Daphnia pulex: one gene and its partner. The protein of the gene in region 1 interacts with the protein of each later gene in a pairwise test. Links are inferred from orthologs where the notes say so. Each region holds a gene or a part of one and is shown on either strand. Other genes may lie near its edges. The genes, in order: protein Red-like and WD40 repeat-containing protein SMU1-like.

Region 1 (4,386 bases):
CAGAAGATGGGACGGTCCACATTTACGATTTGAATACGAATGCGCTCGCCATGCGGATATTGGGTCACACCAAGCCGGTTACTTGGTTGTACGGAGTCGCATTGAACACGTCGGGTGAGGTGATGAAGTCGATCAAGTCCACTACTGACTATCTCAACCACTTGACGCTCATCACGGGCAGTGAAGACGCACACATTCGACAGTTTGCATTAGACAGTGGCTCCTTGATCCACGAAAGATTTTGTAAACATGCTTTGACGTGTGCAGTGGGCCACAAATTTATCACAAAGCTCTATGTGGGCACTACGGAAGGAACCATCTTCACTTATAATCCCAAAATCAATAGTATCCGGATAAACAAATTTAAAGTAAGTTTGATTTGGTAAAATAAGTTACGAGTTAGAACAATTTCAAAAGCTTCTATTTTTGCAGGCGAATGGTGAAGTCATTTGTATGAAGATACTAAACGTTCGGGGAAAAAGAGCAATCATTGTGGCAGCGAGGCGAATGGACCCCGTTGTTTATGACTTGGATACGGAAGATGCTCTCTTCACATTGACCTCAAACATTCCGAGCAGTTCTTTTTACTGTATGTCAAGTACCTCGCACTATGTGTTCTGCTGCGACGCCAACAAGAACCTCTTTAAATTCGACACAAATAGTGATAATATGTATATCACGGAAACTCGTAAGAACGTGTAGAGTTAATTTTCCGATAAAGTAATTAAAATTTTCAAATGTTTTAGTTCCCTCTGCGGCTGTGAGTTCGTCCTTTGAAGGGAACCGATATCTCATCCTTGGCTGTATGGATGGAGTTATTCGAGTAATAGATACATTGCATAAGCCGTCTCGAATTATCACTTTGCCAGGGCAGGCCTTGAAGACAATCACATGTATGAAAATCGTCAATGGCAAGGTATTGTTTTGGTTTACTTATTTTTGAAAATCCTGAGGCTTGAAGTAATGAAATTTTATTTCAGATGGTTGGGGGATCACTCAACGGTGAAGTTGCTTATTGTCAGCTTCCTAATTTAGAGGCTTTGTGTAAAGTCAATGGCTAATATGAAGAGATTTTCTCTGTGTGAAACTTATCTACTTTTTAAGTAGGCTTTGAAAGAATACTACAATGATTTCGTTTCATGGTACTGATTTTGTTATAATTCCGATGACAAAAACGCAGAAATAATGATGTGAAAAATACACTGGCGTAATGCTCAGAATTCATACTCCCCGCGTTTTTATTTATTTTGTTTTTCCTTCAGCTACTGTTTAGTATTCCCGTAGACTTAGCAGACGACGTTAGTTTGCTTCGTCTGTTGTTTCGACAAGTTCGAAGTTTCGAACTGTTTGGCTTTGGCAAGCAAAGTTTTTGTAAATTTTGTTTTCTCATTGTGAATTCAACTATCTATCGGCCTAATAATGCCTGACAGTAAGATCATTGCTGTAATTTTTTATTGAAATAATGTATAGTAACTTTAAATTGAATTTCGTTTCAGGAGATGGGCAGGACGCTGGACCTGGGGAAGCGTAAGAAATGATTCATTCATTTAGACCATGTTCCAAATTAATGTAGCTTATTGTTTTTATTTTTTAATCCGTAGATCCTCCAGGTTGACAAACGATGACTTCCGAAAGTTGATGATGACACCTCGTGCTGGATTTGGATCAGGTTCAGGTTCTTCAAGTAATTTGGGGATGGGGTCTGTTCGAGGAGAGAGTAGTGTTCGTAAAACAACACATGGGAAAAGTGACCAGAAAAGAGCTAAAAAAAGGTGAGACACTCATTCAAACTATGCATTAATAGTTGTTAACGTCTTTGAATAATTTTAGTGAATACTTGAAAGAGAAAAAAGAAGAAGAAGAAATTCTAGCTGAACTTGCAAAAAAATATCGCGATCGTGCTAAAGAAAGACGAGATGGAGGCGAAGCTTCTGGCCCTGATGCGTTAGCGACACTTGGAGCTTATCGTGCTGTAGCACCAGATATAAAATCGTACTACAGTCATACTTTTCTACTGAAAAACTTCAAACAATCAACATGAATCAAATTTCTTTTACAGAACAATGGATGCTGCTGAACGAAGGAAACAAATGATCCAAGAATCAAAGTTTTTGGGTGGTGACATGGAACACACTCACTTGGTGAAAGGTCTCGATTATGCTCTTCTCCAGAAAGTACGCAGTGAAATGGAGCAGTTTGAAGAAGAGGATGACGAACAACTCGAACAGGCTGTTGAAGGCGAAAAAAAAGAGGGAGAAAAGGAAGTCGAGAAAAAGAAGGAAGGTGACGATGAGATCCAGTTTAAAACAATTATAGGAAAAAACATTTTTAGGTAAAACTTCAACTTCATATCATTGAAATGATCATGAGTTAATTTATTGTTTTATTTATTTTAAAATGCAGGGCCGTATTCAGATCAAAACCACCTGAGCGAAACGAACATTTCCTTCCTGGTCGAATGGCGTATCTTATCGAGTTAGAAGATGAGAATGCCGAGTCAGACATACCAACGACCGTGTTGAGAAGCAAAGCTGATTGCCCCGGACTGGAATCCTTAGCCACTCTGTCTACAAATGACATTGTCATTAATAAGCTGACGCAAATTTTATCGTACCTCCGGCAAGGAAAAATCGGCAAAAAGCTCAAAAAGCCCAAAGAAAACAAAGACATGCCACCCCCGCAAATCATCCCCGGCCTGAAAGTCAACAAATCCACAATAGTAGAAGACACCATCTACAGCAATATCGGGACTTATGTGGCCCCGACAAAGGAGAAAACTGCCTCTAGTAGTTCACGTGACAGGGAAAGGCGAAGTGACAAGCGTGACTACTTTGACGACAAATCCCGCAAGGATAAAGACGGAGATGCTGATCGAGACAAGTCCAAGGATGCTTTGAAAAGCGCCGCAGTTTTGGAAGCTGAACGGACTCTGGGTGCCCTGCTAAAACCAGGAGCAGCTGATGCAAGTTTTCAATAATGATACTGAGTTTCATCTTTTACCAGTTATTGATTGTCTATTGATTCACAGAAACGAGATGGTGGGTCTTCCAAGAAGGCAGATAAAATGCTTTCTAAACTATCCGCTGAACCTGAAGGATATGCCGAATGCTATCCTGGTTTCGAGGAAATGAACGACGCTCTTGAAGACTCGGACGATGAAGCCGATTACTCAAAAATGGACCTGGTAAGAAATGATTAAAACGTTGATTGAAAATTGATTTTACAGATTCTTTTTGTAAACTTATTTCTCAGGGCAACAAAAAAGGACCAGTCGGTCGATGGGACTTTGATACAGCGGAAGAGTATGGTGATTACATGAACAAAAAGGAAGCCCTTCCTAAAGCTGCCTATCAGTATGGTATCAAGATGGCCGACGGACGCAAGACGCGCAACAAGACTGTTGTCAAAACAGATAAGACGGAGAAAGCGGAACTGGACCGAGAATGGCAGAAGATCCAATCTATCCTACACAAGCGTAAAGGAGGTCCATCGGGAGAATCACAGTAAGTTTCATAATTATTTCAAAATGTTTTCCTGTATAATTCATGATTTCTTATTCGTTTAGAAAACCGGAGAAGTCTGTTCGTCGTAATTGATATTTTTCATCATTGGTTTTCCTTCATTAACCATATTCTACTGTATTGACCGCGAAAATGTTTTCTAATGTTCCCAATTAACTGCATTCATTTAGGTACCCATCGTGAATGAAAAGATTTGTTTTTCGTACCCTCACTAGCTTCATATATATTTCATCACAAGTGCAGTGAAACAATTCCAGAGCATCAGTCAATTTCATTCCATTTTTTTTTCTAAACAAAAACTATTTTTGTGGACCAAAAGATATTCAACAAGACAGAAAGTGAGAAAAGTATATAGTGGTTCGTCAAAGACTGACCCATATAAAAAGAAAAAGGATAAACACACATGAAAGCCACCACAAAGCACACCAACGAGCATCGAAAGAGGGCATGTGACAATTATGGCACAACTCTATTTGTCAATCTTGTCTATCAAGAAGAATGAAGGGGTTGGGCTCATCGCAACGGGCCAAATGGATGGAAAGAAAAAAGGCTGCTTGGGAGGAGTTTTCCATTTCATCTTGAAAGTAGCGGATAGATAGATATATATCGTGGTTGCCACACATAGACAAGTCGGGAAAAAAAAGAAGAAAAATAATGATCGAATGTGTGGAATGTATCTAAACTGCAAAAAGAGAAGGAGGGTTGGTGCCAGAGAGGGAGGCCACAGCGACAATCATTGTAGTGATGAAGCTCGCAGGTGTTCGGTGCGCTAATTGTACTATATTTAGTAGGGGACGTTGGAGAACAGGTACGACACCGACTCGCCATTGTGGGTGCGTCGTACGGCCTCGGCGAACATCATCGA
Region 2 (4,426 bases), on another chromosome or scaffold:
GGCAAGGAAATATCGAAGTTCCAGAAACAGTTTTGCGTACAGTAAGACTGTCACTCATGCTGAAGGTCGTTTCATCGTTAATCTTTTTTTTTTTTTTTTTTAATTTGATTGAAGCGCCATTCTGAATTGTTGAACTTTTGTTGATGCAGGACCCTATTGAAGCTCACGTCCGTGTAGCTGTACTGGTTTACGGTGTACACGGCGGAGTTGAACATGTGCGAAGCACAACGGTCCGGAATTTCATCTTCTCGCAGGAAGAACCAGTGCTGCGATATGACAACTTACTGACATACTCGGACATCAATCCGGATCGGTTCGATTGTGATCGGCCACAGCCAAATAGTCCACCATCGCCTTTCCTGGTTGGGCCCAAGCGTGACACGCTCAAGGTCCAACTCATCATTCTACCTCAGCGACCTTACAAGCGACGGGAAAGATGAAAACACCTTAAGTGGAAATACGGGCTAACAACGAAAGAGTCAGGAACCAAGAGAAGCAGCACAAAATTATGAATGAAATTTATGCCTTGTGTTTCACCATCATGTTGTTTCAACTCCAATCTGTTGACTCTTTGCTGTGAAAATCGAAGAGTCATTTCTAGCTTCACAAAACGACACCTGTATTTTTCCTCGTTCAAAATAGATTCGTCATCAAAGTTTAAGGTCGCCACATTCTCAGAAATCCGTCTTCACTGTAGGTACATAGGAGATTTTGATGCGGGTGGTGACTCATGCCTATGACTTCTTTCTCGTGGACCTAAATCAGAAATGGAGAAATGAGAACGACAACTAGCAGCGAAATTACGAGAAAGAATAAAAAGTACCGTTAAAGTTTTTTCGAGTTTGCCTGATGCGATGGAGAAACAATAGAGCACCATGTCTTCACCGATGCAATAAATCCATTCGCCTTTAGGTGATAGGGTACAGCAAACAAAGTCACCACCATCACGCTTACCGCTGGTGAATGATCTGACAATCTACGCGTATTTTTTAATAAAGAACGAAATGGATTATTTTAGCGTTAGGCGATTAACGTTTAGATATTTCTCTTACCTGTCCCTGCATATTCATGATAACTACAGTACTGCTCTTATTGCTGACGATAAACTGCTCTGGGTTCTTGGGTAGGAGGGTGATGGTGTGAATCGTCAAGTCACCGCCTGATGAACCGCCCAGCGATTTGTACGTGGAGACGCACTCGCCCGATTTCATACTCCAGACTTTGACACTGCCGTCACAGGAAGCACTCAACACGTGATGACCATCGGCTGTGAAAATGGCTTCGTTGACGAAGGAAGTGTGGCCACGGAATTCTTTCAGAGTCTTGCCCGATTTTAAACCGTGGACTCTGCAAATAAAAGTTTAAGAATCAGCAAAGATCGTCGATTATTTTTCACAAAAAGATGGGAACAATTGCCTTTACCTGACGGACATGTCGAACGATCCTGTCAATAGCTGGCTGTTATCTTTGGAAAACTGCATACTGGTCACACCTTTGCTATGGGCTTTCTCAAATTTGCGTAGGCACTGGCCAGTCTGAATTTTCCAAACTTTGATTTTGCCATCTTGAGAGCCACTAGCAAGCATTTCAGAGTCACGACTAAAGGTTAGGCAGAGAATAGCATCTTCCATCATCATGAAATTGTCCTGGAGATAAAAACAAAAATATGTTACAGTGATTTGAAATTGAAGGGTACATTTCTTGATTACCTGAGCTTGGTATTTGAGATCTTTACGAATCTTTCCGGTGGTAAAATTCCAAACTTCAATAAAGCCGTCAACAGAGCCGGTGACCAGATACTGTCCGTCAGGTGAGAATTTTGCGCATTCGACGTGAGACTTTTGTCCGAATTTGATGTGTTTAGTCAACTGAGTAGGTGGCTGTTCCTCTTCTTGTTCTTTGATGGCAGCTTTACCTCTGAAAAGATCGATACTGGTACCGGGAGGCAAAAGTCCTTGATGCTGTTGCCATTTCAAAGATTGCCCGAGTAGAGCGAGTAGACGAGATGGTGGTACCACGGACACTTCTCCACTCAGAGCTTGAGCAATGGCTGCTCTCCGTTTTTCTTTACTGCTTCCTTCGGGATATGCTTCCCTGGTGTCAAAATAAGACCTAGCCAGCAGGTTTTCTATGGAAGACGAACAAAAAGAAATTCATCAATTACTGATGGTGGGTTGACTAAAGAAGAAGAACTGACCTAGATTTAAATATCGATCAGGTTCTTGCTGTTTCATAAGGGCCATAGGATCTGTCTGACGCAGCAGTGATCTGGCTGCCCCCAACTCACGGAGCTCTATCAATTCTAAAACGACCTAGCAATTTGTTACCCGTTATTATTATGACTCTAGAATTTGCAAAGATTCTTGATGAGTGATTGATACCTGTTCATAAAGGTCAATTAATTTCTTGTCTGGAAGTTTAAGAGATTGTGTTGCTTTTAAAACTGTATCCCAATGGCCACTGAGAATGTCATCTGCAAATGATTCAACTGAATCGACAGTGTTGAGAGAAATGCCTGTTTCATCCTACATAATGAGGAAGATAAAGATTTGTTTAATGAATATTGTTTTCGGCTACATTGAGTAAGAAAACAAAAACCGGCATGGTACCTGGAGCACTTGGAGGGTCCTCATCAAGTTAGACTCTTTCAAGAACTGCTGGATGAGACGAATAACGCTAGAAGATTAAGGAAATGCATGTTACATTAGGAACTCAATGTTTTAAAATGTATGTTTGTAATTACTCGGCTGATTCAATTTCAATAGACATTTTCAGAAACAATTTTTAAGAATTTCCAAATTGTAAACCGATCAGCTTCTTCTGTCACAAGTTTGTTTGTTTCAAGAGCCATCTAGAGCTCACTTTTAAAACTAGAGAGTTTCGTGCGAAATTTGAAAAATCAAAGAAAGTAAAGCTGCCAAGTTGGACAACATTGTCTTTTAGAGGTTTTATTAACCTTATAGTTAAATTACACCTATGTTCTTAATCTAAGAAATTAATTTGGATTTGATAATTTCAATGAATTGTCTATTTAACAAACTTTGGTCTGGGATAGAGTCCCAATCAAGAAATTTACGATATGCTATTTTAATTGTCGCAAAATGGGAATTACAGCCATTCATAAAATGTAGTCAAATAGCTTATTATTAATTCGATGAATTGCAAGTATAGCCATAACAATAGCAATGACTATAGCCCGAATTAGTAACCTACCTTCGTCTAAAAGAATTATATGTATACGTTTGTTTTGACTTGGATTTGTTTCGCCATTATATTATCGATCCGAGTCACGGACAAGCTGTCCTCAATCCGTTTCTTATTTTCTTTTTTCTTTTGTCCAGACGGCGAGCCATGAATGATTCATTCGTGCGCAAATTCCACAGATTTGGCCGTTCATTTGTCATTGGCTGTATACCGGTTCGCCTCGACCGTTGGTCGGCAAGTTGCGATATAGTTTATCCCCTTTCCCATTATATTATGCACCGACAATATGAAATACCTTGATCTCGTGCCTTTATTGCAGAGATAAATGCTGCCAACGGAATATATCGCTTATAGTCCCGATGGTATTTGAGCTGAAAAGATTGGAAATAAGGACAGCCCCCCGAAAGTCCTTGCGACATCCTTCAATTATTACAGCGCGGGGAAAGTTGTGGAAACCCTGTCAACATTTTTCTTCCGCAGCAGTTAATACAGCACACACTATACGGGCAGTAGAAAATCTGGTCGAATGGAAAGGCAGGAAAAAAAAAGAGAGATATGGAACAATGGAAATCATAGTAATCATAATAATAATAATGAAAGAGCGTGTGTGTATTTAATCAAAAAGTTGGCCAGTTTTCCCCACCACGCGCGCGACTCTTTTTCCCTTCCATTTGTTGAGTAATCACAGGAAAGAAAAAGCTGCTGGCGGGGCTGTTAGTTTTGCGATGACATAACACAACATAGTATATTCGGTGAAAAAGGGAAAAAGAAGTTTGAAAAGAGAAACACACCACGCGGGCTAATAGAAAGAAAAGAGAACCTATATATGAAAGAATAAGAGAGAGAAATAGTAGTAGAGTCGCCCTTAGATTTTTAGAAAGCGAGAGTGATTTCGCCTCTCTCCATCGTCGCTGCTGTGTTATTTCCATTTCCATTTCTTGTTTGTCTTGCCCTTCACCTAGATCACCATCCGTGCAACAGACCAGCAGAGACCTGCATTAGGGCGACCGAGCGACCACTTTTGGTCTCGAATGTCTTTGTCCTGTGCTGGCTGGCTGGTATAGTGGCTCTCTCTTCGTTGTTCACCGGCAACAACTCGCCGGATGAGCGCCTTGTAGTACCTTTTTTTATTTCTTGTCATACCTTAAGCTTAAGCTGCTTTTTATGGCCCACTTTTCCTCCTCCATTTTCACCTCTCGGCTCGGCGAGGTACGGACGAGAG

Evidence for each region.
Region 2: the proteins of protein Red-like (region 1) and WD40 repeat-containing protein SMU1-like interact in binary tests that used the Caenorhabditis elegans proteins (3 or more experiments, as listed by UniProt). The link is inferred for Daphnia pulex from reciprocal best matches to the Caenorhabditis elegans genes smu-2 and smu-1.

What each region holds. Positions count from the first base shown.
Region 1 is NC_060027.1:2,116,464-2,120,849, forward strand, and holds protein Red-like, read left to right. Parts: upstream 1-1,282; 5' UTR 1,283-1,419; coding exon 1,420-1,429; intron 1,430-1,496; coding exon 1,497-1,527; intron 1,528-1,601; coding exon 1,602-1,772; intron 1,773-1,830; coding exon 1,831-1,992; intron 1,993-2,059; coding exon 2,060-2,332; intron 2,333-2,403; coding exon 2,404-2,962; intron 2,963-3,028; coding exon 3,029-3,184; intron 3,185-3,252; coding exon 3,253-3,503; intron 3,504-3,565; coding exon 3,566-3,596; 3' UTR 3,597-3,785; downstream 3,786-4,386. Other genes in the region: flocculation protein FLO11-like, read left to right, coding at 1-368, 433-688, 747-916, 981-1,061; ribose-phosphate pyrophosphokinase 1, read right to left, coding at 4,306-4,386. UniProt on the Caenorhabditis elegans protein: Auxiliary spliceosomal protein that regulates selection of alternative splice sites in a small set of target pre-mRNA species. Selectively regulates alternative splicing of unc-52 exon 17.
Region 2 is NC_060024.1:13,654,669-13,659,094, reverse strand, and holds WD40 repeat-containing protein SMU1-like, read right to left. Parts: upstream 2,893-4,426; 5' UTR 2,770-2,892; coding exon 2,744-2,769; intron 2,677-2,743; coding exon 2,610-2,676; intron 2,526-2,609; coding exon 2,382-2,525; intron 2,313-2,381; coding exon 2,198-2,312; intron 2,129-2,197; coding exon 1,710-2,128; intron 1,647-1,709; coding exon 1,423-1,646; intron 1,348-1,422; coding exon 1,053-1,347; intron 977-1,052; coding exon 824-976; intron 757-823; coding exon 658-756; 3' UTR 599-657; downstream 1-598. Other genes in the region: BTB/POZ domain-containing protein 17-like, read left to right, coding at 1-65, 150-440. UniProt on the Caenorhabditis elegans protein: Involved in pre-mRNA splicing as a component of the spliceosome. Selectively regulates alternative splicing of unc-52 exon 17.